Linked DNA regions of Arabidopsis thaliana. The protein of the gene in region 1 interacts with the protein of each later gene in a pairwise test. Each region holds a gene or a part of one and is shown on either strand. Other genes may lie near its edges. The genes, in order: AT5G64550 and STY17.

Evidence for each region.
Region 2: the proteins of AT5G64550 (region 1) and STY17 interact in a two-hybrid assay, tested with the Arabidopsis thaliana proteins (one large-scale study listed by BioGRID).

What each region holds. Positions count from the first base shown.
Region 1 is NC_003076.8:25,797,111-25,810,461, forward strand, and holds AT5G64550 (loricrin-like protein), read right to left. Parts: upstream 7,871-13,351; 5' UTR 7,696-7,870; intron 6,776-7,695; 5' UTR 6,589-6,775; coding exon 4,684-6,588; 3' UTR 4,418-4,683; downstream 1-4,417. Other genes in the region: AT5G64540 (mucin-like protein), read right to left, coding at 1,740-2,393, 2,480-2,605, 2,697-2,771, 3,122-3,541; MGT9 (magnesium transporter 9), read right to left, coding at 9,915-10,001, 10,092-10,211, 10,286-10,315, 10,415-10,459, 10,543-10,587, 10,682-10,909, 11,000-11,074, 11,145-11,266 and 3 more; XYL4 (beta-D-xylosidase 4), read right to left, coding at 13,117-13,351.
Region 2 is NC_003075.7:16,947,933-16,960,178, forward strand, and holds the start of STY17 (ACT-like protein tyrosine kinase family protein), read right to left. Parts: upstream 2,689-12,246; 5' UTR 2,474-2,688; coding exon 2,268-2,473; intron 2,195-2,267; coding exon 2,080-2,194; intron 2,005-2,079; coding exon 1,799-2,004; intron 1,638-1,798; coding exon 1,583-1,637; intron 1,358-1,582; coding exon 1,247-1,357; intron 1,026-1,246; coding exon 975-1,025; intron 749-974; coding exon 576-748; intron 496-575; coding exon 388-495; intron 196-387; coding exon 122-195; intron 1-121. Other genes in the region: RTFL6 (ROTUNDIFOLIA like 6), read left to right, coding at 4,680-4,868; AT4G35785 (RNA-binding (RRM/RBD/RNP motifs) family protein), read right to left, coding at 5,279-5,487, 5,591-5,660, 6,038-6,187, 6,305-6,404, 6,497-6,520, 6,633-6,773, 7,096-7,118, 7,193-7,195; PLDDELTA (phospholipase D delta), read right to left, coding at 7,842-8,138, 8,415-8,615, 8,755-8,904, 9,020-9,168, 9,377-9,524, 9,666-9,734, 9,824-10,129, 10,220-10,414 and 2 more. UniProt on the Arabidopsis thaliana protein: Serine/threonine protein kinase that specifically phosphorylates chloroplast precursor proteins in the cytosol within the cleavable presequences (transit peptides). May be part of a cytosolic regulatory network involved in chloroplast protein import.

The DNA.
Region 1 (13,351 bases):
AATTAAGAAGAAGTTTTTTTTTCTGAATTCAATCATAACACTAAAATTATTGGTTTGTGTAGGCTTCACAATATATCTTTAAATTAAAATATATATCGTCTTTTTGCCTAATGTACCTAAGGTTAGGAGGAAAACCACATCTACTAGTCAGGGAAAAAATTGCAGCCTACTACACTTCTCATCCATTGAACAATATTAATTAAAATATATAATAATTGGTAGAAACGGATTAGAGTTTTGACTAACAAGATCCAAAACACTAGAACATTTATATAATGGGAAATAATGATTATGTTACCACTGAATGCATGCAAATGAGACTTAAAAAAATAAGCCCCCCATGTTGGCGAATAATCATGGGGAAAGGCTAATGGTGTGTTTAAAAAGTTATAGAGACCAAACCAAACTAACTTTTTTTTTTTCTTGGTTCTTCTTTCTTTCTTGAAAGTTTATACTGATTCTAGTTTTTAACTCAACAAACAAACCAACAAATACGAATTATGTTTCTCTCTTTTTTAGATGGAAGAGGACAGGCAGCTTGGAAAATAGTTTTTCCAAAAGTAAGTTGTGGCCCTATGTTTTGGTGACTAATACATCTAAGGATCAGATTACACTTGTGTACTAATACATTCTAATTCATAGCTAAATTCTCGAGAAGTACGAAAAAAAGTAATTGTTTTTTTTCTCTTTGTGAAACCAGAGATGATAGATGATAAATTAAAGGTAACTTTTGAGAAATTGGTGAGAAAATTTTCTATTTTTGATGAGTCAGTCCTAAGTTTAAAGAGAACAAAAAGCTACAGAATAAAAATGATAGAATTTGAGTATTATAAGCAAATTATGTTGGAAGTACATAAATTTGCAAGTGTGGCCTCTAAATTTGATGATATACGTGTGGCCTACACCTGATCCGGTTTAGGGTAGGATTTTCTATATTGTTAATTGTTTATAGAGTTGGGCAATTGAGAGCCTTTTTCTCCAAGTTACAGTCTCTCTTTCTATAGATCTTTGATTGGGTTTAGTAGTTAGTTGTCTTGTGTCGCCGAGCCAAGCAACATCGTCTGTCTACGTCTATTATAATTATTTAATTTTTCTATGTATATATTTTTATGGGTGTTTGCTTAGCAAGCACTGACTCATGTATGATGCAAGCACCTTCGCACACATAAAAATAATAATTTTATAAAATAGGAATTGAAAGATTTTTCAAGTTGGGTTGAGAGATTAAAAGATCATTGAATATGAAGAACTTTTATGGTTTTGGTGTTACTATGTATAACTATCTCATAATTAGAATAATGTTTTCAACCTAAACAATATGGAAACCTATCTACACGATGGGTTTTTGACCAAGAAACGATTTGATATTGTTGTTCTGAACCAGAGACGTTCTAATTGTATGTGGAATTTTACGTAGCATAGCAAATATCAAGATTTCAGTCTCGTTAAGCTAAAAAACGTGGATTTCGTTAAGCTAGTGTTTAGTTGCTTCTTGGAATGCAGAATAGCAAACCAATAGAAACAAGAGAAGATGCATTTGATTAAGAAACAGAGTGCATATATTTCATTAACTTGTTTTTCTCTTTGGTTTGTTGTCTATTTATTAGCTTTCTATGTATATATGTAATCATGATTTTTTTTTAACAATCCTATGAAAAGCTGACAAAAGTTTGACGGATGGGAAGACATATAGTGGTGATTAGAAGCTTTTTTATGAACAGAAATGTTACCTTTTCGTTTTACTGGTGCTCCTCCTGATGTCTGAAAGCTGACATCCTCTTCTTGTATTTGTAACGCCCGAAAACATAATCTGGGAAGAGCCTGTTATGTGATTTCATGAAAACAAGTTGATCTTGTGTGAATGTTGGGAGTCCATCATCAGAAGGTGACCAGTCTTTGTTTCTCGTCATGGTTCGAAGTCCAGCAGAAGGTAAAGCCAAGCCTGGTTTTTGCGTCTCTGTTTCACGTCCAGCAGAAGGTGAAGCCAAGTCTGGTTTCTGCGTCATTGTTTCGAGTCCATCAGAAGGTGACGACGACAAGTCTGGTATTTGGGCCACTGTATCGAGTCTATCAACAGAAGGTGAGGAGCTATGGGTGGAGGTGGTAGTACTGGTGTTGAGATCGACTGTAAGAGTAGTAGATATGGGAGTGTGGACTGGTGAGTCGCTGGTAGTTGTGTTGAGCTGGCTAGAGGAAGGTGTTGTGGGTACTGAGTGTGAACTGGTGGTTGGTGTTTGGTTGCCAGAGAGAATTGGAGGAAAGTCCTTTTGACTATCTAGCGTATAGGGGTCAGGCCCATGGGGTAAGAGCGGAAAAAGTGGTGGTCTCTGATAAACGTAGATCAGAGACCGAGGCCGGTGCAGGTACGGGTATAGCTGCAGGTGCAGGGGATTCTGCAAACGTAATTGCAGTCTGAGTTAGTTTCTGAAACAAAAAGGGTTTATCATTGAAGAAAAAGTGTGAGTTGAGATAAACTTACAGCGCATGGAAACTGTGGACTATAATGATCATATGGGAGTTGCTGTGGTGTATAAGGAGAAGCAGCTTGTCTTGGTGTGAGGATGAATGGTTCAGCAGAAGCTTGCAGTTTGAAAGGTTTAGCAGCCTAATAAACACAGATAAAAGCAAATGAGAACTGGTTATAAACTTATGATTCTTCAGAAATCCTGATACACAATGCGTTGTAAAGTAAAAACCTTTGGTGTACAAGGACTATTTGCCAGCATATTTTCCTTGCCAGCTGAAGAAGATTGCTGAGAGCGAGTGGTTTCCTGCAAAATCACCAAAGAACTCTCAACAGACATTTCAATACATAAATGTGAGCGTAGTTGCGACAATGATACACAATATTTGCTTCTCCTGAATAGATCAATGCATTGGAAGTTCAGCATCATCTATACTTGGAATCATGTTCAACAAAAAATAGACATTTCCAACATTATCTGATTCAGCTTCGTTTGATCTAAAACAGTCATCGAAAGACATCAAGTCACTAACGTCTAGCAACTCTATGTTGTGACCATTGTGGAATATCACATGCAATGTTTCTTAAGTAAGTCAGTGATGTTCTTACCGATTCTAATCTCACAAATATGTAAACAATAAAGAGCGAAAGACGAACCTGGTTAGGTCCTGAATCGCTTATAGGGCTGCTACACTCTGTAGTCTTCTTGAGCTGACTCCGGAAGATTGAAGAACGTGCTGATCGTCCTGGATAGCTTGAAGGAGACTCATACACCTTCTTTTTAGTGGCTGATGTGACCAGAACACCATCCATCAAGATTCCTTCATCTGAGCATGAAACCGGAAAGCGCCTAGGAGGGAGTGGATCTGATTTAGCGTCCCGTAAACACTGCAGCAGGAGTGTCTTCGCATTGCTAATGTTGTAATTCCTTTTAGGAGTCACCGGACTCAAAAGTGATGACATTTTATGTTGAAAACGGCTCTGCCGGATCTTATCCATCGGCCACGTCTGGGGACTCTGCTTTGGGGTCTTGTAATCCACCTCGTTGTAGACAAACGGCTCGTCTTTGTCCATCATATTGCTACAGTAGGAGAATCTGAGATTCCTTTGTGGATCCTTGTATCACCAGACTTCAAAATGAGACTTTTTTTAATCAACATCACCAGAGGATTTGCAATCACCAAAAACCACAAAGAAAATAACAAATCACCAGAGAAGTCTCGACTTATTCACTCTTTCTCTCTGCCGCTAAAGCTTTCCGATAAGATCTGAAGAATGTAATCGAGAGCACAAGACAATAGTAAGTTTCAGATTCAATCAAAAACAAACCACCGCAGAAACATTTTCCCGCCAAAACTGGCGATGAATATTCACGAGACAACAGCAAAATCTACCAAAGATCCAAGGTTGAAATTTACCGATAATCATCATCAGAACTTGAAGAAATCAAAAGCGAGAACGATTGAAGTAGAAAACGAAGAAGAAGAACCGAAATTTCCGATCAAAACCTAGGGTTGTAGAGGAATCGGGAACGGGAAAAAAACACAGATTCAATCGCGATAGAGCTAAACCTAAAGCTCGAAATCGGAACTTAAATCATAATCACATACCTAAAAGAATCGTGATCGAGAAGCTAATTCGTCTTCCTCTGGTTCGATAGCATCACGAAGCTTGCTCAGAAAAATCTCCACGGCCAAAGAGAGAGAGAAGAGGGAAAAAATTAGTTTCAAAGAGACGAAATGTTTGTTAACCGCCTCGGTGTATATATAGGGCTAACGGAAAATATAACGGCGGAAAGATTCCGTTATCCATTTGATGACTTGGTTTGGTTGTTTCTGTATGTTGACTTTGACGCTGTTTCTTTGACCTTCCATTAAACCGGTCAAGGCGAATTAAACCAAAAGTTATTTAACCGGAAATGCTGATTCGACCCAGTAAGCTCTGTTTTTTTTTGGTACAAAACATAAGAACACATTTTACTTGTACATTGCAACATTCATAACAATGATCAAATAAACAAAGACTTGGGTTCAAGCCATCGACTAGATGGTCAAGTCAAGACCAGAGACCATACAAAAACAGAGACCCATGAAATGTACAAAGGACCCAAGAGTGAAAGAGAAACAAAAAGAAAACCAAAAAACTATACATATTACATGAAGCTTTACACAGACTCTAGCCTTGTTGTTACCACATAGAGAGGAAGCTTTCAGATTCCATCAACGGAGTGTTTGTTTCATGTTACCATTAAGCAGAGACATAAGCCCGCCACCATGAACTCTTTCCTCAGGAATCATAAAGTCAAATATGTTCCTCCCATTGCTGCCACTACTATTGTTGTTTGTTTCGATATCGGGTCTCTCGGTGTTTGAGAAGCTTAAGGATTTCATTGATGGAGGCACAAGAACCTGCATTGGTATCATCAGCTTCTGTCTTTTCTCGGGTTGATGATGCAACGGTGGCAGCGGGCGATCAATGGAGTCCATGCAATCAGAGACCGCACTGACTCCAGATTGAGAATGATCAGTGGTAGTAGTAGTAGTAGTTGCAGTTGTTGTGGTTTGTAAAGAAGTAGAGACAAGGCCACGGAAAAGTCCCGGTCCAATCAAACCAACCTTGCTTCCAGCTTTATCTTGTGACATACTGTTATGCGCAGCGCATAAACCGCTCTTTCCTCTAGCGAATTTCTCGCATTTCCAGTCTCCTCCCCATGAGCAACGTTTCCCACCACCATGTGCCTTACAGAAATCAGTGCTACCTTGCGCACTCTTCTCACAACCATCAGACTTACACCGTTTCCCACCACCGTGCTTCACGCAACAATCAGTCCTCCCACGAGCGCTCTTAGTGCACCCGGCCACAACACATCTCTTCCCACCACCGTGAGCTACACAGAAACTCGTCCCACCATGCACACTCTTAGGACAAATACCACCACCATCAAACATACAGCGTTTTCCTCCACCATGTGCTTTACAAAGCGGAGTACTACCTTCCGCTCCTTTTGTACATCCCGCAAATATGCAGCGTTTCCCACCACCATGAGCTTTGCAGTAGTTTGTACTTCCTTGAGCACCTTTTGTACAGCCTGAAGACTGACAACGCCGTCCACCACCGTGGGAAATACAGAGTCCAGCTTGTCCCTCAGCACTTCGTGTACAGCTTTCAATCCTACACCTTTTACCACCACCGTGCTTGATGCAGAGCCCAGATTTGCCACGTGCAGCCTTAGCACATCCCTCAGGGAATCCACACCGTCTTCCACCACCATGTGATATGCAGAGATCGGTTTTGCCTTCAGCACTCTTTGTGCATCCCAAGTGTTGGCATCTCTTTCCTCCGCCATGGGCTTTGCAGAAAGTAGTTTTGCTCTCAGCACCTTTGTTGCAACCTAGCTTTTGGCATCTCTGGCCACCTCCATGGCCAATGCAGAGCCCCGAAGCTCCTCTAGCTCCTTTAACACATCCCATAAACTTGCACTTCTTCGGGTTGCTCATCCTTTGCTGAGAAGACGTGGCAGAGGCCGACCTGTCAGAGAAAGCGCTTACAGAGAACTCTGACTCATGGCTCAGCTGTGAATTATAAGCATCAGTTCCACAATTAGTACTACACTCTTGCATCCTTGAAGGTTTTCTAACATTCTCCGTCCTTGGAGCGAAAAGAAGCGATGGCATATAGCCACCTGATCGCCTTGCTGAGGTAGAACCCTCATCAACAGCAGCTTGGGACACATTAGTATCCGCATATGTCAACAGAGAACCCTCAAGTCCGCTGAAAGTATCCATGGTCACAGCAGGAGGACCAAGTTGCAGGATTGAGTTACCTCCTGATGAGAGTTCCTGAACACTCCCAGAAGAAGCAGAGCCTTTGTTGTTATTATCATTGACCCTGACATTGTAATAATACGAAGGCGGTGTTGGACCCAAACCGAGAACCAACCGGCAACCACCATCAGGACAATTAGAAACATCAGAACAAAGCTTATGGTTATGGTGAGAGCTCCCAATCAATCTCCCTGCACTGCTTCCAAGACATTTCAAGCTAAGAGCAGTATCGCCGAAATTGTCAAGCTTTGCAATACCATTGCCACGAGAAAAGTGAACAACACTCTCGTTCAAATCCATATGAAGAGAAGAGACAGAACAATGCAGCGGAGGAGATAGAATGACCAAAACAATAAATACTTAGAACACCACCTTGTAGAGCTATAAACATAAAAGCAACTTGAGATATAAACATCTCCCACCGCTGACAAATCCCCATGTATCTGCCCTGTCCATCTTCAAGAATGGGTTTGCGCAAGAAACTATTCTGCAGCAGTTACAAAATCTTGTTAGTAGAAAGCTTAAGCAAGAAGATCAATAACATTACAATGACACGAGACTAATAATCAAGAAAAGCATTTGAGTCAATAGTGTAATTACAAGTTGCGGCTTGTGATGTTAAGAGATTCAAAGTACAGAGACCAATAATTGGCTACAACTGTGTCTGAAAAGGACCAAGTACCAACCAAAATGACTAATGGTGGCAACATTTTAGCCTTAGGTAAAAGTGAAACGTGAAGGACACATCTTTCTATGCTCGAAAAATTAGAAATTTCCCAAAACAACAGAATGAAAGAAAGGATAAGATAAGATTGGTTTACAGATTAGTACACAGTATTAAAAAAAAAAAAACTAAATAATTTTTGTTACTCAAAATAATTCAAGCAAAATCAGAATAATGTTAAGACTTTGAAAACTTCTTATATAACATGGAAAGTCAACTTTGTGTTTGATAAGTGATAAGTGATAACAAGAAGCAATGTCTCACGATTTTAGGTTGTAAAATAAAGATCCAAACTCAATAAACAAGATCTAAGGAAATACTAATTGTTACTATTAAACAAAAATGGAATCAACAAAGATTCTGAATCTCTATATCTCACAAGTTTCTAACTTTGAGGAAGAAGATCTAAATTCACAACAAAAAAATTAATCAAAGTTATAATCAGAGTTAATCAAACAATCATTAGAGAAATCATCATGCGTACTCTAAAAAGTTAACATCATGAAGGTTTTAAAAAAAAAAAAAAGATAAACCCTAAAAAGAGCAAGAGACAATTAGAGAAATAAGCTGAACAAATTTCAGAAAACGAAACAAAAACAAACCATGCATTCATTAATATAACACGATCAATCAGTAATAACAAGATACAAAAAAACAGTACTAAAGAAGGAATAAGAAAAAACCTGATGGATCTGAGACAGAGAGAGATTCCGTAACTCGTAAACTGAGAGTCCCTGCTTCGTCTAAAACATCGAGGAATACGAAGAAGAAGAAGAATGAAACAAAAAAAGAGACTGAAACAGGTGTCGAAATATTAGCGGGGCTACAAAAAAAGAGAGAAAAAAGAGAAGAGGAGATATTTTTATGGTTTTTATTATGAGCGTGTTTGTGTTGTGTGTTAGGCTTTTTCAGGTTCTCTCTTTCTCGTTTATAACCGCGAGTGAGGGAATCCCAATGAATTACCCAAAATACCCTCTGTCTCCGTCGATAGTAACGGTTCTGATTGGATGAGACAACGCTCTATTTTGGGTAATCAATTAAAATTTGCTTTTCGATGAAAACGACGCCGTCTTTAGTGGAGACAAAGTCTTTTATGCCCCTTGTTTTCTGTTTTCTTTCGAGTGGTAGTGATGTTGCGACAAGTCACTTCTCTGAATTAATAAAAGTATTAAACCGATTACCGTCTTAACCGGTCAGAACTGATTCCTTCCCTAATTTCTTATGACGTCATCGTAATTTTATGAACACTTGGTTTTTATTTATTTATATTGTTTTTTGGGATATTGTGAATGTTTGTAATGATGATATCAGCTGAATGAGTCTTTCGAACTTAATTGATGTATGTATATGTTTGTTTTTGTCATTTTATGTGACGCTTTTGTTAATAAACGAGACAGAAAAACGATTATTTTTTTCTCATGCCAGGAATATGGAGTAAAAAATATATAGAATTAGCTGGCATCATTAAACCTAGTATTGTTTAAAAAAATTTAATCAGATTCCACTATCCAAATGCGAAGCACTTGTGGTATCAAGCTTCAACGAAATAAAAGACTTGTGATTCTGTTTCTTTATTTTATGTTTGTACTTACATCTAGATCTATAAGACTATAAGCGAAAACGTTCAAATTTCCTCTACTCAAGCAACATACATATTCAAACATCAATTGTAATTTGTATATGTTATATGTATAGTAGGAAACAATCACAAAACAAAACAAAAATATGAAACAATGCAAATAATATCATTGATGTACGTAAATGAAATATTTCTTCGTTGGAAAATAATTGAAGTGATTAATGAGAGGAACAAAATGTTAGATGTGCGCTGGGAGAAGAAGAAGTAAGAACAATTTATTTATATAATTTGATACCAATTGTTTTGTCGTGGTGTGATGAAAATTGTCGCCAAAGGACCACAATAAAGACGAACGACTATTTTCTTTTAAATGAATGAAATTGTGATTTTTATGATGTTCCAAGAGGCAAATCCTATTACGTCAGCCAATGAGGTTCCTTGCAGAGTGGAAGAATCTATCATAATATTTTAAATAAAAATGAATTATATATCAAAGAAAAAGTACAAAAAAGGCATAAAATAAAAGGAATCTTTACTAGTCGGCGATTCCGTCAGCTTCGGCCTCAACTCTCCACGCGAAACGGCTGACGTCGACGATATTTTATACCTTCTTAATCATTTAATAACATATCTGGTAACAAATGTGTATGTGGAAACACGAAAGCCTTGTTGCAATATTTTACATCATGTTTTTAGGTTTTGACTTCATCAGCATAGGGTTTAGGACAGAGTTTGTTTCTTCGTTCGCATGCATACATTTTTATTTTATAAAATATTTTCTTCTAAAGCTCCTTATTGGATGGATTTTAAATTGACTTTGTTCAAAATAAACATCAACAGGCCCAACTCTAGCCCAATCTTCTCTGCCAATGTAATCTCAAAAACTTCTCTTTTGATAAGACTTACAAGAGAATCCAAAACACACCATTTTTGTGTGTGACAATGGAAACCTAAATCATGAAGAGACTTCAAATAGAAACGTTATAACATCAACTAGCGATATTAAAATAGGCACTAAGCCCGCGGGTCTAAACGGGCTTCAACCGATAATTATTGAAAAGTTGTCTAGCTAATAAGGAATCAAGGATCCTAAATTTGATTTCTATGCTCTAATTGTAAGGAATCGATGGTAGAGCTTATCTTTGCAATTACAAGTCACAATGCTTCTGCTTTTTTCAATATGTTTGATTAAATTTTATGATGCGACAACTAAAATAATTGTGAAGCTCGTTCAAAACTCAGAACGACCACAAGTATAATAATCGAAAACAAGATCTGCCCAATGCCCCTTCACAATCTCTCCATCTAACCCAAATTCAGCCATCAAGATCCCACAAGTCCTTTGTACCTAGCGTACGACATTATGATCACAAACACGACTACACAAAGTGTCCCCGTCAAGCCCACCACCTGCAACAACCAAAAACCCCGATAAACATAAGTTAATCTTGAGAGAGATCTTTATTTCATCCTCATGCGAATAGAATTCTGGTTTCTTACGTATTTGAACATGTATCCATGACCGTCGTTCCATGTGTATGGAATGTTCATCCCGAAAATTCCAGCGACAAGAGAGTACATCGATAAGCAAACTGTTCCAGAACTTAACACTAGCTCCAACTGCAGGATTTTGAAGATGATCAACAAAAGAAGATGACATATTAAAAAAACTTTGGCTTTCGACATTCACGTACCTGAATAAGCTGATTCCGATGATTGTCAAGCTGTGAATAGAAAACCGACGAGTTTTAGCTTTTAATATAATGACTTATATTCAGATTTCAAGAACATGTTAAAAATTTTGAGGTTTCGTTTTTGGATACCTGGATGTTAATGTAGTCCTCTGTGTCATCAATATACTCACGTAGCTGCATCAGAGTCAAAAATTAAGTTTTTAAAGTAAAAAAAGTCTGCAAAAAAGAACAGAAAGAAAAGGGAGCAAGAGGATAACTGTTGTTAATCTGTTCAAAGTGCTGTCGATCTGCATGAAGTATGCCTGTAAAGATATCAAGACGTGTGTATTTGGACTTGGCATTTGAATGGAAGATAGATCAGAATCAGATAAAAGATTTTGTGCAGGATCAACAAACCTCGAGTAACATTTCAAGTTCTTCAACATCATTCTCATCCCCATGAACTGTGGCTAAACTCGCTCTACTTGCTCTTGAAATCTTAGAGCCTATTGTTGGGGAAGTAGTATACCAATTTGGTTCACCAATACTACTAATCGGTGAGGAAGCACTTGAAAGTTTCCTTGAAAGGTAAAGATCTGCCATATCATCGTCATCATCCAGCAACTGTTCGAGTTCATCTCTTACCTGCAAAAGGCGATGAAGCTACTTAGTTCTCTATTCATATTACAAACTTTACAAATACTCATAAGTCATAAGAAAAAGATACCTGCTCACCTTTTGAACCCGAGCTGTCAACCGAGTCATGGCACTCTTCAATTTCCGAACTCTATCCAAATTACGGCTACTAATCTACAAGACGAATGTAAAAATGTAGTTGAAAACTGGATCACTGGTGATAATAAATCATTGAGGTACCTACCTTTGAGGTAAGCTCATCCAAAGCAGGATAAGCAGCTGTTTCTAATTCTGCTGTCCTTGCAGCTAAGAAGCTACAGATTGCTTCCAAAGCTACTTCCAGCGCCCGAAATTCAAATGGGGATTCTATATTGCAACAAGCAGACATTTCAACATATATGAAAAGGCAAATTAAGGGTCATCAAAAAGGAGATGAATTTCACAGAGTTTAGATGGTTTAGGAAAAGAGCCAAGAGTCTCTAGGGACAATACCATCTTCGTCACCAGTATCACCGTCGTTTTGAGCACCTGCGATCTCTTTCCCGTCTCCTTGACCACCATTGTGTGATGCATTTCCAACAGGTAAGCGTCTTCGAAGCTCCTCCACAACTGGAATAACATTTTCATCAGACGGATCCCGAAGCAAAACCTGTAATAAGCCCAAGTCATTACTACAAGAAGAGAACTCAAAAGCTATACTCCTCTAAGCATTCCATAGTGCTAAATAGATCAAAGCCTGGCTGATATTATGAACTTTCAACACACTATAGCATAGTAAGAACAGAACTGAAAAATTAGCCAAATTTTTGCCTAGTTCAGTGATTGCTCAAGTTCCTTAACACATTGTCAGCATTTTGAAAAACTGGCTACAAGAAAGAATCAAACTTTAACATGAACATCTGCATATTCAGAAAAAAATCTACCTAACAAAATAAAAATCGAAACTTTTTACTGCAAAAACCCTACAAATCTAAGTGTGGTAAGCAAAGGAATCAAAGAGTAAACTACTAACCTCTTCGGAAGTGATAATAGCCTTGATATGCTGCATAAAGAAGAAGGAACAAAACTAATTACACTCTGAAACAAAAACAAAACCCAGAAACAATGAATGCCTGAAGAACCAAAAAACAGAACCAAACCTCCAAATTGAGAACAATGGCTCTCTCTCGGCCAAGAATAGTGGAAGGGTAAGATAAATTGGGGTCTAGAATCCGGAGATCGCGAGCGTGGATCTGGACACGGTGCATGATCTCATACTTATCAACATCGAGTGGCTCACTCTGTCCCGTCGCGTCAATAAGAGCCCACGACGCTTGTGGCGTTTTCTTCTTCACCGTCACAACCGCCGAAGGATCCGCTGGAACCAAGTACCCGTTTTGCGCCATGTCTTTCAAAAACTAAAAAAAACTACCTCACCGTCCACTTCCACGCCGTCTGTAAAATTCAGAGCACCAGCATCAACACAACAGTCGAATTCTTCATCAAAAAAAAAAAAGCGAACAAGAGAATCTGACCTTGTTGAGCTCAAGTGTTCATGCGAATTCGACGGAGAAAACAATACTCTAAAGGATTCAGAAAAGCGAATTCTCGTCCTGTCTGCTCTTTTTTCATTAAAAAGATTTTCGGAAATCTTTCTTTCTAGATTTTTGTTTAGGTTTGGTTTTTTTGCTTTGTGAGAGAGTTTTACAGTTTCAGAAAAAAAGGAAAACGTGATATATTCTGTTAGAGGTGAATCTTATTTATATTTAAAATGTAAACCGCAATAAACCGGTAATAATAACCCTGATTTCTGGTAAATGTTGTTCATATTTGAGTCGAATCACCTAAATTCGACACAAAACCCGGTTTAGTTTAGATTAAGAAAATAAAAATTAATTTATTTTTGATCGGGATATACTACGAGTTTATCTGCTTGTTATCAGAATTATTAGTTTGAGCAACTAATTAAAAAAAAAAAGACTAAATTTACTTAAATTGAAATACCAAACATAAATCTAACTCTAACTGATATTAGCTAGATTTATGTTACACATGAATTACACATGATATATTTTAGATATTCGAATTATGTTTATATATGCCCCACATTTTCGGCTACTAATGCTATAATTTTAAAGAGATTCACAATTTCTTTTTTTTATTACTTTTCTTTTCCAACTTGCAAAAGCTTAAGCATATTAATATTCTTTTTTTCTTCCTCAAATAAAAATATAGAATCAGATTCTAATGCTTAAGGAATGTTTTAAATCTCCGACATGAAGAAGATGCTTTCCCAAACCAATCTTCCTCTTCCCAATCTCATCAACCACACTCAGATCTTTACATATCTCTACCTTAAACCTAACCACCGCTTCTTCCCTCTTCCCCAATCGAATCTTCTCGAATCCTACCAAATGCTTCCTCGGCGATCCGTGAATCGCCGGCGGCGTCGTGAATAGAAACACCGTGTGA
Region 2 (12,246 bases), on another chromosome or scaffold:
CTCTATAGAACCTCAATGTCCTGCTGAAACAACTTTCTCACCACGCTTGAAGATACAAAACCAACAAAAAAAACGATCTAGATGGAACCAGTCTCCTATTCATAATCTACTGACAACTTACCTGTCACAATGCAGAGGTTTGGTGATCGTGTACATGCACCAATGAACTGGACAACATTTTTATGCCGAACTTTCCTACAAATAGGGAAGTATCAGTAGTGGATGTTTCTGAATATTAACTTTGTTCAATGGACACTGGTTGTTAGAAAATGAGGGAAACTCATGCATGTTTCTACGTATACACCATGAAATGGAATTTTTGGAGATTTATTAGAATACATATACTATAAGAGTACGAGTTGCAATTAGAATCAAATTGCAGCACACCTCATTATATATACTTCCTGAGAAAACTCTCGTAGCATTTCCGCATTAACACGCTCAGGCTTGAGAATTTTGATAGCTACTTCCTGACTACAATAGGTTCCTCTAAATCTGCATAGCCATTAAGAATATATAGCTGTTAATTTCCTCATATAGTATTAAAAACAAGATTTTTGAATATGAAAACTCACAGTTCCCCGTATGATCCACATGCCACCTTTTTTTCAATTTTGAGCTGCTTCATGTCAATTTCCCACTCATCAGTTCCATCCGTAGGTATTTCAACACACGCAGGTAGCAGCTCGTTGGTTGATTTGTCATGCTCAAAGAAAGTGATAGATTTCTGTTTTGAACAAGGTTGATCCTGCAGAGCAGCCAGTGTGGAATATGGAGACATGACGACTATCAAAATTGATTCAAAACATAGCAAAAAAAACATCAGTACAGTGGTGCATTCAGTTTCGGAGTGAGCTAATTCTAAACCATTACTTGCACTTTCGGAATTTAAATTATGAATGTGGCATGGAGTCTAATATAAGGAATCTCATGAAGATAAGGAATGCTCATGACAATAGACTAACAAAAGATACCTTAAACTTTCTTATCTCCTTCTTCAATGCATCTTTTAAACCTTCTGTTTCCTGTATTTCAAAAGTGTATAAAGTTGCAACCAGTTTAGATGGCAGGGGCAGAAAGGTCATCAATGGTCAATATCTTTCGAAGTCATTTACTTATTACATAAGTCACAAGTCATTTACTCAATGGTCAAAATCTTTCAAAGTCGTTTACTTAATCCATCAGTCACAAGTAACATGATGGTTCTGAAAGATGTTGTGAACCATACAGAAAACTGAAACTATACCTCCTGCGACCAGCCATCAACAACAAATACATCGAGAGAGAAACCATCGGCGGTAGAGAAAGCATGAGCCTCTTGAATATTCAATCCAAGTTCACCAAGCATGGAAGTTAGCTGGAAAGAAAACAAACCGATTCTCAGTCAGATAATGGCTTAATAGAAACATAACCACCCATTCTCTACATGACTGTATCTAATGGATCCTTAAAAGTAGAGAGGGAATCCTATACATCACTCTACTCAAACGAAGAGAAAAAGCAATTGTAAAAGAACACAAAGTCACATGTTTCCAATATCAGAGCTGACATAAAAAGAAATGGAAGAAGCAACATCACCAACCTGACTAAGGAGTTTCGGCCTGTCGATTGTAGAAAAGGTGATTTCGTGCATCGGTCTATAAGATAGACAACAAAGGATAATATCACCACACATGGTTGTAAAATTAAATCAAATAATCCTGCAAAACAGACGATACCATGCTACAAAGAACGCCTCTTCAAGTATATGCAGACAAGAAGACTCAAGTAAGTTAAGTGTCAAAAGTATATATCTCACCGAGAATTAGGCAACTGTGCATTGACAGCACTATCATCGTCTTGAGCATGATCTTTGTAAGCTTGAGTAAGAGCTTCGAAATTCGGAGAAGAACCAAAAGTTGGAGGTGCAAGAGACCTCGAGTTATAGGAGCTTTGAGCATCTTCATTGACCGCAGGATCCGAAGGATCAACGTCACCAGAATTTCCATTCAATGTGGGAGAAACCTGTAAGAAAAGTGGAAGTATGAAGAAGCAAGCAAGCAAGATTAAAAAGTGGTGAAGATGGTTAAATGATCACACCTGCACACAACGAACTTCGAAAACAGGTCTAGTAGCAGGATCTTCAGCCAATTTCAACAATCTCTGATGAGTAAGTACATCTTCTGCTCTCTCAACATTTACATCCAAAGCATATCTATACACAAAATCCATTTCAGCAGGAAGTCAAATTTGAAAACATTTATTATCATAGGATCCAAAAAGATTACCGAGCAGGAAGACGATTGAAGTGAAGCCAGAGGAGATCATCAAAACCAGGGAAATTAGCTTCTTCGTAATTGGATTCCTGGATTCGTTGAAGAACCTCACCGTACACCTCCAGTTTCATACGGTGCTGTCTAGGGCTTTCTTTCGTTATTGAAGCTACCACGGCTCTGCTTCCGCAACTCTCCTCCGTCTCCTCTTTGATCGCCATCGCAAAACAGCAGATCAGAATTGAAAAACTCTCTCAAGTAAAACCAGAATTCAACAGTAGGAGTGATCTCTTCTTCGATCCTAAATCCACAAAAAGGTAGAATGATCCCAGAGATTCAACTAAAGGCGAAAAGATTAGAGAGTGAGAAGACGGAAATTGAAGAGAAGAGAGAGAGAGGGTGTAATGTATGAGTTTGGGTTGAAAGCCAGGGAGGACATGAACGTTTCGTTGTGTAACACGTAGGACTCATCCACGTCATTATGTAGGGTCCATATGAGTGTGGGTCACGAGAATACTCTTATTTTTTTAGTTATTGTAATGCTTTAAATGGATAATGGACAGTTTTGCTTTTTTGGCTTCGAGATAAATGTATGGTGGTTTTCATGTTTATGAAGCAAAAAGAAAAGGAGATGATGGTGGATGGTGATGACTTTTTTATATATATTTTTTTTTATGTTTTGCTACTTATGATACAAATATGATGACATATTAATGGACATGTTTGTTTTTATTTCACTATTTGTTGTATAACACTATAAGTTTAATATTGGTAATTACATAAAAGTTGATCTTGTTACAACCAATAGGCAATAGCAATACGTACGAGGTACGAGTGAGCCTAAATGATAATAGGCCTTTCAAATTTCAATCCTAACGCAACAGATCATTTTTGTCGGGCCTTGTGGCCCATATTTGCTTGGTGTTGGTATTTTACACACTTTAACACAAGTAAATAAAGTGGCAAGTGGGCAACGTTCGCAAAGTTAAAGACAAAATGAAAATGGCGACAACAATATCCATATGACGACGCTTATAACCATATCCCATATCTGGTTCGGTAATTAAAATCATAAAATGTATCCAGAAACTGGAAAAATGATCAGCCGAAATAAAAATAAGAAAATGAAAAAAATGATTTTTATTCTTTTTGTCAAGAAAAAACAAGAAGAGGGGAATATTATACAGCTGTGAAAGGAAAGTGTGATGACGTGGCGTAAACCAATCAAGTACCAATGATTGGTCACTACTGCCTTCTCTTCTTCCAGATACTTTATTCTCTTCCACCAGTTCATGCTGACGTACGTTGCTTTTGCGTTTACGAAGAAGCCCTTCTTATAACTAAACTTAGGGTCCGAATGGTGACTGCATTTTGCGGTGCGGAAAAAGTGCAGTGCGGTTCAAATAGTAACGAAAATACATAGATACATATGTATATGTAGAGATTTTGATACTGTTACAGCACTGTTGCGGTGCGGTTTTGGATGCGGTTTACCAAACAATTTCAATCCTATTTGATCTTTAATTTTTCTCCAATATGAATTCATGCAACATACTTGTCGAGAAAAAAAAATGGCGTAAGAAAGGTTTAATCAAATAAGTAACGATAAGAAAAGTCATACAAATAAATTAAAAAAGTAGCTTAAGAAATGAATTGATGACCATAAGATGCGGTTAATTAAGGTAAAAGTCCATTTTACACGTATGATATAATACCAACCAGAGGAAGACACGTGTAGGAAAAAGATAAGCCAGTTGCAACGTCGGGTACGCTAAAACCACCTGAGACGCGTTTTTGGTTGGTTTATGAATCAAAATCCGGAAGATACTAACAATTAATTAATAACGAAAACCAAAAATAATTACAATATATGTGACAATGTTTTGTCTTTCATTACATGATCACCATTAGTTCTCCGATCCTTACATTATAGTATATCTTTAATAAGCCACAATAAATGATTTGAAATGTAACATACGAATTAACGTTAAAAAACGGAAGGGATGATCTAGTCATATGAAGACTTTAGTACTATCTTTTATGGTATTAGACACAAAGACAATTATTCCACTAATAAACGATTTAAGTAACAATGATAAAGCGTAGTAATGTGGAATTGTTTAATCGCGTAAGTACATATGCAAAATGAAATAATATATTTTCTTTACGAATACGTAAATAAATGAAAGAACTTAATGATGTTGAACGTCATCGCATCATCATTGCTCCACCACTCCTCTATTTATAGTCTTTTTTCATTTTATTTTTCCTCTCCACTCTTTTCACATTTGGTCCCTTTAATATTGCTTCTTCTTCTTCTTCTTCCATTTGTCTTTTATAACGAAAAATCATCTCTCCGTAGAGCACAAAAAGAGCAATAACGTAAAAGTGTGAAGAAACGAAGTAATCAAAGAGAAGAGAACAATTATGGGGCAATGCTCATCGGCGACAAAGATGAGGAGAAAGAGGAAAAGGGAAGAAGAATGTTGCAGAGAATCAATGGAGAGGAGGAATAAAGGATGTTTAGCCATGGTGAAGGAGAGACGTTCTAGGTTTTATATAGCTAGAAGATGTATTCTTATGTTGCTTTGTTGGCACAAATACGCCAATTCTTGATGAGGTTTGTGTTAGTATTCGATAATTAAACAAGTATATACGATTGATTATTTTTGTCTCTGGTCACAACTTGGGGTTTTGTTTTTAGTTAAGTTTCAACTTTCAAGCTTTAATTTGGTATCTCCACCTTTTTGTTTAACAAAAAATTGCGAACAATCTAAAGATTCTAATCACATAAGATATTCTGATTCATTCAAAAACAAGTAGAGTAGAGACATAACAGAGAAGCTATTACAGTTTTTAGTTTTCACTTCAGAGAGTTCCGACAGAATAACACGTTAACAACAGAAAATAAATGAAACCCAAAGCGTTGCCTGACAGAATCTTTGTGCTATTTTAAGGATGATCAATTACACAACCTAAATCAACAGAGAAGTTTTTGAATCCTTTGTCAAAAGGATGAAAACAGGTCATCTCGAGCCACGGGGTTCATACCTTCTCTCTGACCTCTCAGACCTTCTCTCTGATCTTCTCTCTGGGCTTCTTCCATGAGGAGAGTAAGACCGATCTCTTCTAGACCTTCTTTCATCACGAGGTGAATAGTCGCGTCTTGGTGACCTACGGTCTCTGTAATCATCACGATCATAGTGCCTCCCTCGACTGCTACGGCCTTCTCGATCTTTTTTATCAAAACAACAAAAAGATTACGGAACAGTTAGCAACCTTTCATCTGTCTAGAGAGAGACTCAATAATAACTACGAGGTTTGAAATGTTCAATTACCGCTGTCTCTGGAGCTTTTCAAGCCAAGATAGTGGCCTGGGGTGGGAGTTCTCGGGCGCTTTCTCCTGGACTGAAGAAAGCACAAAGTACATAAAGCTCATGTAATGGAACACAACTTTCAATCTAGAAAAGCCATAGGTATATTCAAGGAAACAAGATGCATCCTAGGCTGGAGAAACACTTGACTAATAGTTGTTGATACTTGATAATGTCCTTTGACTAGTTGAGAGTTGAGAGTTGAGGCAATATAGTTGCTTATGATTATGTTTAAGCTGGCGATTCGATTGATCAAGCTGTGTTTCACTTAATGATGTTGAGCAAGGATGAGTACTCTTATCATCTCTGATTGTTGCTTGATGCAATATTTTCTGAATGATCAGAAAACCTCCAAGTCAACAAATAATGATCTCAAACTACCACCAAAATCAGTAGAGCATGAAATTTTACCCTTTCCACAGTTATGTATCGGCCTTCTAGTACAGACTGGTTGAGATATTTAATGCACCGCTCAGCATCTTTAAGGCTGCTCATTGTAACAAAGGCAAAACCACGAGACACACGGGTGCGCGGCTCCATCACAAGAAAACAAGACGCAACCTATGGAAATGAAAATGGTAAACTATATGATCAAAGATTATATGCCCAAAAATGCAGACACAAAATAGACTTAAACTGGTAGTATGAGAAATGAGAATCAGGTATAGATGTTATCACCTTTCCTTCCTTGGCGAAATGTGCTTCAAGATCCTTGTCAGTGACTCTTGTAGATAGGCCAGTCACATAGAGAGTGGTACCAGGGTTTTCAACTTCACTTCTGTCAACCAAAATTCAAAATATCGCAAAAATATCAAACGAATTACAGATAACAAGAGAATGCAAACTCATATGGAGAAAGCTGGAACTAACCTTCCACGGCTTCTTGACCTTGACCTACAAAGTGTACAGGTAATGAAAAAAAGATTACCACGCAATATTCTTCAGAAATTTTCAGTGACATACCCAAAATCTACATAAGAAAACCCTATACTGCGCAATAACTAACCTTCCACGGCTTCGTGATGGAGAAACAGGCCTTGGCAAAGATCTTGACCTGGACCTAAGCCTGGGCCTGGATCTAGACCTGGACCTAGACCTGGATCTGGATCTAGCTCGTTCTTTTCGGGGTGAAGGAGATCGTGAATCCCTGATGCAGAAATCAAGTAAAAGATTACACTGAGACTTGTTACTTAGAAACATTTAGCTCTTTATCAGTCCTCTGAGCTACAAATACCCAATCAAATAGCATTTGCAACAAAACATAATTAAGAAGAACTACAACTACATAGAAAAAGACTCCAATACTAGATCTTAAAAAGTCAAAATTCCCAAAATCAATTCGTCAGATTCACAACCCTACGCAAATGTAATGCAATTCAAAATTGTTGAAACATGTAAAAAAACAAAAGAGAACGATTTAGGAACAATAACAGCTCCGAAATGCGAAGCAATAGAAACTTGAATCTAACCTTCTTCTTTGAGGAGAATCCGCCTGCAAAACGAAGTAATTACCTCAAATTTCTCGAAGATCAAGAAGAACACAGAGACTTAGTCGTGGAAGCTTACCATTGCCGAAGAAACAGAGGTCGCGATCGAGACGGAGAGAATTAGGGTTTTAGTGAGAGCAATAAAGCGTAAAATCAGTCTTTCTTTTCCCCCTTGTCTACAGATGAATTATTCAATAAAATTTTATACTATTACAAGAGTCAATAATTGCATGTAGCAAGACTCACGTTTCTTATGGTGTCTGCAACAACAAAAGAAAATAACAATAATCGTAATCAGTCCCGGATTGATATTTCCGGTCTGCGGTCTGGTTCGGTTTAATACCGCTAATTAAATATTTTGATCTGTCTAAGTGTCCATGAATCTTCGGTTTGGTTCGGGTAAACAGAACCGATAGGCACATCTAATCTTAACATTAAAAGTCGAAGCAGAAATTTTGTTTTGAACGCAGTTACACAGCATCATTATCCGATTTTGAAAAAGAAAACCGAGAAAAATAGAATATCCTCAAATTATTTTGCCTCTTCACTCACTCACGATCTCTACATTTTGCACCCCAACAAATATTTGACGACAATCACAAAAGAATGTATAAAAAAGAAACAACACAGTTAAATGTACAACAACTCAAACAACACTTTCAGCTAATATTATTCAGGATCAAAAGAAACCCCAAAACAAATGCTGAAATTTACATTGAACATTCACATTACGTGGTTAAAGTGTCAGGAAGAGCCATGGAATGAGCTCCAATGATCTTACCACCAACATCTGGGAAGGTCTCGTAATCAGGAAGAGGGCTTACTTTACCATCAACGTCTACTTGTAGAGGATACTTTATTAAGTGACCTTGTAGCTCTGAGAATTTCGGGTCTATGAATCTTTTCCAGTTTTCTTCAGAGATTGTGTTCACCTTCTTCAGACATTCCAGATCTGATGGCTCCACAAACTCATCTCCAGTTTTGCCTAAATGCTCTGCCCATAGTGACATTCTGTATCCATACACCTGTGTAGATAGATAGAGATATCATCAAGCTCTTTATGTCTTACGAAGACTCAATATATATAATGGTTCAAGAATCTGGGAGTAGAAACACAAGTTCTCTCAAGTATCTAAGAACGTGATTTTTTTCGCAAGATCGAATGCTATCCCAAATTTCTTTACTGTTTTTAAATCCAGGATTCAGGAATTTGAAACTTTCCCCATGTAGATATAGAGACACTTTTGAGGTTTGGTTATGATATAGATGATGATGATGAAGATGTTAGGAGGAAGGCAAACCTGGCCACGTGGGTGTCTTCCCTTGTGAGCCCATGTATGATTAGGTTGGTATGCGCCCATGGCGATTTCAGTATCTTTGGTGCCTGCCATAGATCTTTGGTTGATATTAGCAGATCCCATGAGTACATACTCATCATCTACTATCATCCCTTTTGCGTGCACGTAAATCATGAAACGCTGGAAATTATAAGAATCTGATACCTGAAAAATGCAGTTAAAATGATCATAAAGAAATTGTTCCACTGATTACTACAGGAAACTTTATGTATGATTTATCTATCTGTAAGCTACAGTTTTTGTGAATGAAACATTCTTAGTCTTAGAAGTTTGAAGATTATACCACACTGCCATTGGTGGCTGGCATATCATCTGGAAGCTGCTCTCGTTTACCAAGGCAGTAAAAGTTAAGGTAATCGAGAGGATGAGCATCTGATTGCACCGCTTTCAGTTCTTTTGCTATAACATCATACATCATCTGCATAGTTTGGCTCTACGAAATGAAAAGAACAGAAGATGTTTAGCAGAATGTAAGTTTCTCTTTTAAAGAAATGGAACAACCTATTTTGGTATTGGCACTTATCTTACACTCAGCTAAACAAAGTTACCTGCCAATATAGAATTTCTTGCACAGGGCCAGACTTTGGGTCGCCTTCAGGCCACAATGGTATGACAACATATACGGCAAATCTTTCCTTAGCTCTGATTTTGCTAACAATCTTTAGTGCCAACTCCATAGGAATAAGATTGTCAGCTCCTGCTCATACAAGACGAACACAGAATCAGAAAATCCGCGGGTGAAAAAGTTACTAAGCTTTATTTAATACAGTTCAGGTAACTGTGAGGTGAAAATAGAGCCACAAATACAAAACTAGTAACTGAGAACAATTCTAGACTTCATGCTGTCTGCAATGTGAGTATTTTATTTCCTAGTCTAAGAACTGTACTCAAAGATCAAAATGCACCTGCGTCTCTATAAGAAGGCCAAGCATAAGAAGAACCCAGGAAATACTGATTCTCGATATATATGAAATGCTGAGCAGATCTGATTGTCTGGATGTATGCAGTCTGGATGCTTTTATCTACAACAAGACGCTTGGCACATTCCAGATGCTGCAGTTAAATTATATTGAAGACTTTGTAAGTAGTGCAATTTCTATACCATGTGGTGGCTTATAAAGAGAAATTTCATTGAATAAACGGTGATTCTTCAAGGAAGATAATTAATAATAGCAAATAAGTTGATTGACCAACCTGGGCCTCAGCCTCATCTTCATATTTTGGAAATCCTTTCACGGATCCTGAGTCGATAGAACGGAATATCTAGAAGTCAAAGAAACCGCGTGGTTAGATCAAATCAACAACATTTGTTAACATGAAATAAGTATAGTTTGGAAGGAATCAACAAGGACCTGAACATGCCAGTTCTCTGGATCATCTTCTTTAGAAACCCAAACACATGGATCGTCCTCTGGAATTATCGAAGTACCATCCTTCAGAAATTTAAACACTGGACTCAGAATCCATGATATACGCCCTATCCGGATCAAAGCATCATCTTGCCAGTGAGTTTTCCCCTTTAAACGTAAGCTAAACTCCTTCCATCGTGTTGCCTTTCTCCATCGCTGCTCAAAGTTTATGAGAACATCATATGCCGCAGGCCCATCTATCCTACAGTGCAAATCGTGCCAAGGTTGTCTTGGGGCCTTGGTACCAGCCTGAGGAAGTAAAAACAGAGTATGTATCAGTAATAACTAAAGAATTAGGATTCAAGCTTGATAACAGCCGGTATATAATAATAAACTTACTGGAAATGTAGGATTGTGGAAATCATCCTTAAATACAGTGTCAAGATCGTGGAGTATCCTATGCTCAGGTGTGTCATAACGGCCATCACAAAGATCTAGACCTCCAATAAAAGCGGTGACCTTGCGATTATTACCAACAGCCTGAGTGTCTACAAGAACACACTTTTGATGGTGCGTGAAGAGAGTTCCAACAACCTGGCCATTAAACATCAGATATCAAAAAAGATATCCCTTGGAAAGATAATAACTATGCCAAAGCCGAAATTGACATAACATTTTGATACCCACATGTTGAAAGAGCCTTTAACTAAACAATCGAGAAACAATGGTGCGACATGGATTAGAGTCAGAACATCTCTTATAATTGAAAGTAAGCATCCACATTAACTAATTTCCAACTTTGCAATAACCCTCATCATGCGGGACTAAACCCCCTTAGCTAAAACATATCAACATCATACCAAACAAAAACTGTCATGATATATATAGAAGAGCTAGGACTTGCCTGTTGTTTGAACAACCCAAGCTTACTGCTGGCATACCGGGGTGACAAAACGCATATCACAGAAGAATGCTTGAAGAACTTCCTAGTCTCCTCATCATGTGTCCCCATAACTCCAGGCTGCAAAATAAATGTCACACAACATCTTAATGTCAAAAACACCAAATAACCTGTCAAAACATAAATTATCCTCACCAGAAACTCCAATTAACATTACAACTAGTAATCCAAAAGCTCAAAAATAGCAATACGAATCCAAAGAACTTGTGAAAACACTAACCGTTTTTATCCCAAACTTATCATGAGAAGTCTTATCATCCCATACAAGTAGCAAAACTCGAACACCTTCCTGGGATTTGTATTTGAGCAATTCCCCAAGCGTCATATCCTTATCTCTTGGAACTTTTGTTTCCCTAACAAGCTTAATCTTATGGAAGATAGACCAACCAACAATGTAAATCATATGGTGAGCCTCAGATATAGCATAACATATATCTTCCCAACACTTCCCATGCTCATAAACTTTCCCGTTATCTAACCCAATCGCCGGCAACGTTCCGTCCATAACATGAGCGTCCTGGTAAAGCCTCACCTGACTTCCTTTCCTCACAGGGAAATAAGTCCGTCTAACACCCCTACGCTCCGGATCTCCGGCGATTCCACATCGGTAGCTATGGATCTGGTCAAACGGAGTAAATTTCATATCGATGAAAATAGCAGTTTCTGCCTTAGGCGGTTTTCCCGAAGCACCGAGTACAGGAAACCAACCAGAAATGCGTTCTCCCGATGCGATGTCTCGAACCGGGATCTTAGCCGTGCCAATGATTTGAGCACCGAAAACATCGTCGTCTTTGACCTGGAACTCGAGATAAGCAAACGGATGCGCTATAGAAATGTTGAATTTCTCGTCCCAAAGAGGCTCTTGTGAGTTTTTCAAAACACGTGTTCGAGCTAGAGTCGCTTGAGGAACGACGACGGTGACGTAAGGATCGCTGGTGATAACCTTACGGTGGCTACGGATGTTTTTATCACCGAATTCGCCTTTATCTCTGGGATCGACATCATCGGTATCGGTGGGTCTAGCACAGGCGTTACAGGCGGTGAAGAGACGGCGCAAATGTTCTGAGAACATATCCATGTTAGGTAACCTCCTAGCCTTAACAATTTTCAAATCGAGGTCACCGTGTAGAAGCATAACGTCCTCCGATACTTTCTCCGCCATGGTTACAACAATTCAGGTGGAAGGAAACGAAGAAGAAGAAGAAGAAAAGCTAACAAAAACCGAAAACCCTAACGAACAGGGCTCGGTTGTTGTTGCTGCTGCAGAAACCAAAGATGAATTTGAAAAGTTTTTTTTTTTTTTTTCTTTAGAAAACGAAAGATATTTATTATTTTTAGGTGAAATGATTTGAGAGAGAAAGACAAGCAAGGAAGGAGAAGAGAGGACAGGTGGAGGGACGACGTGATGGGAGTTGTTTGCTCACTGACGACATTATTCCGTGTAGATCTCAGAGGAGTCGTTGCA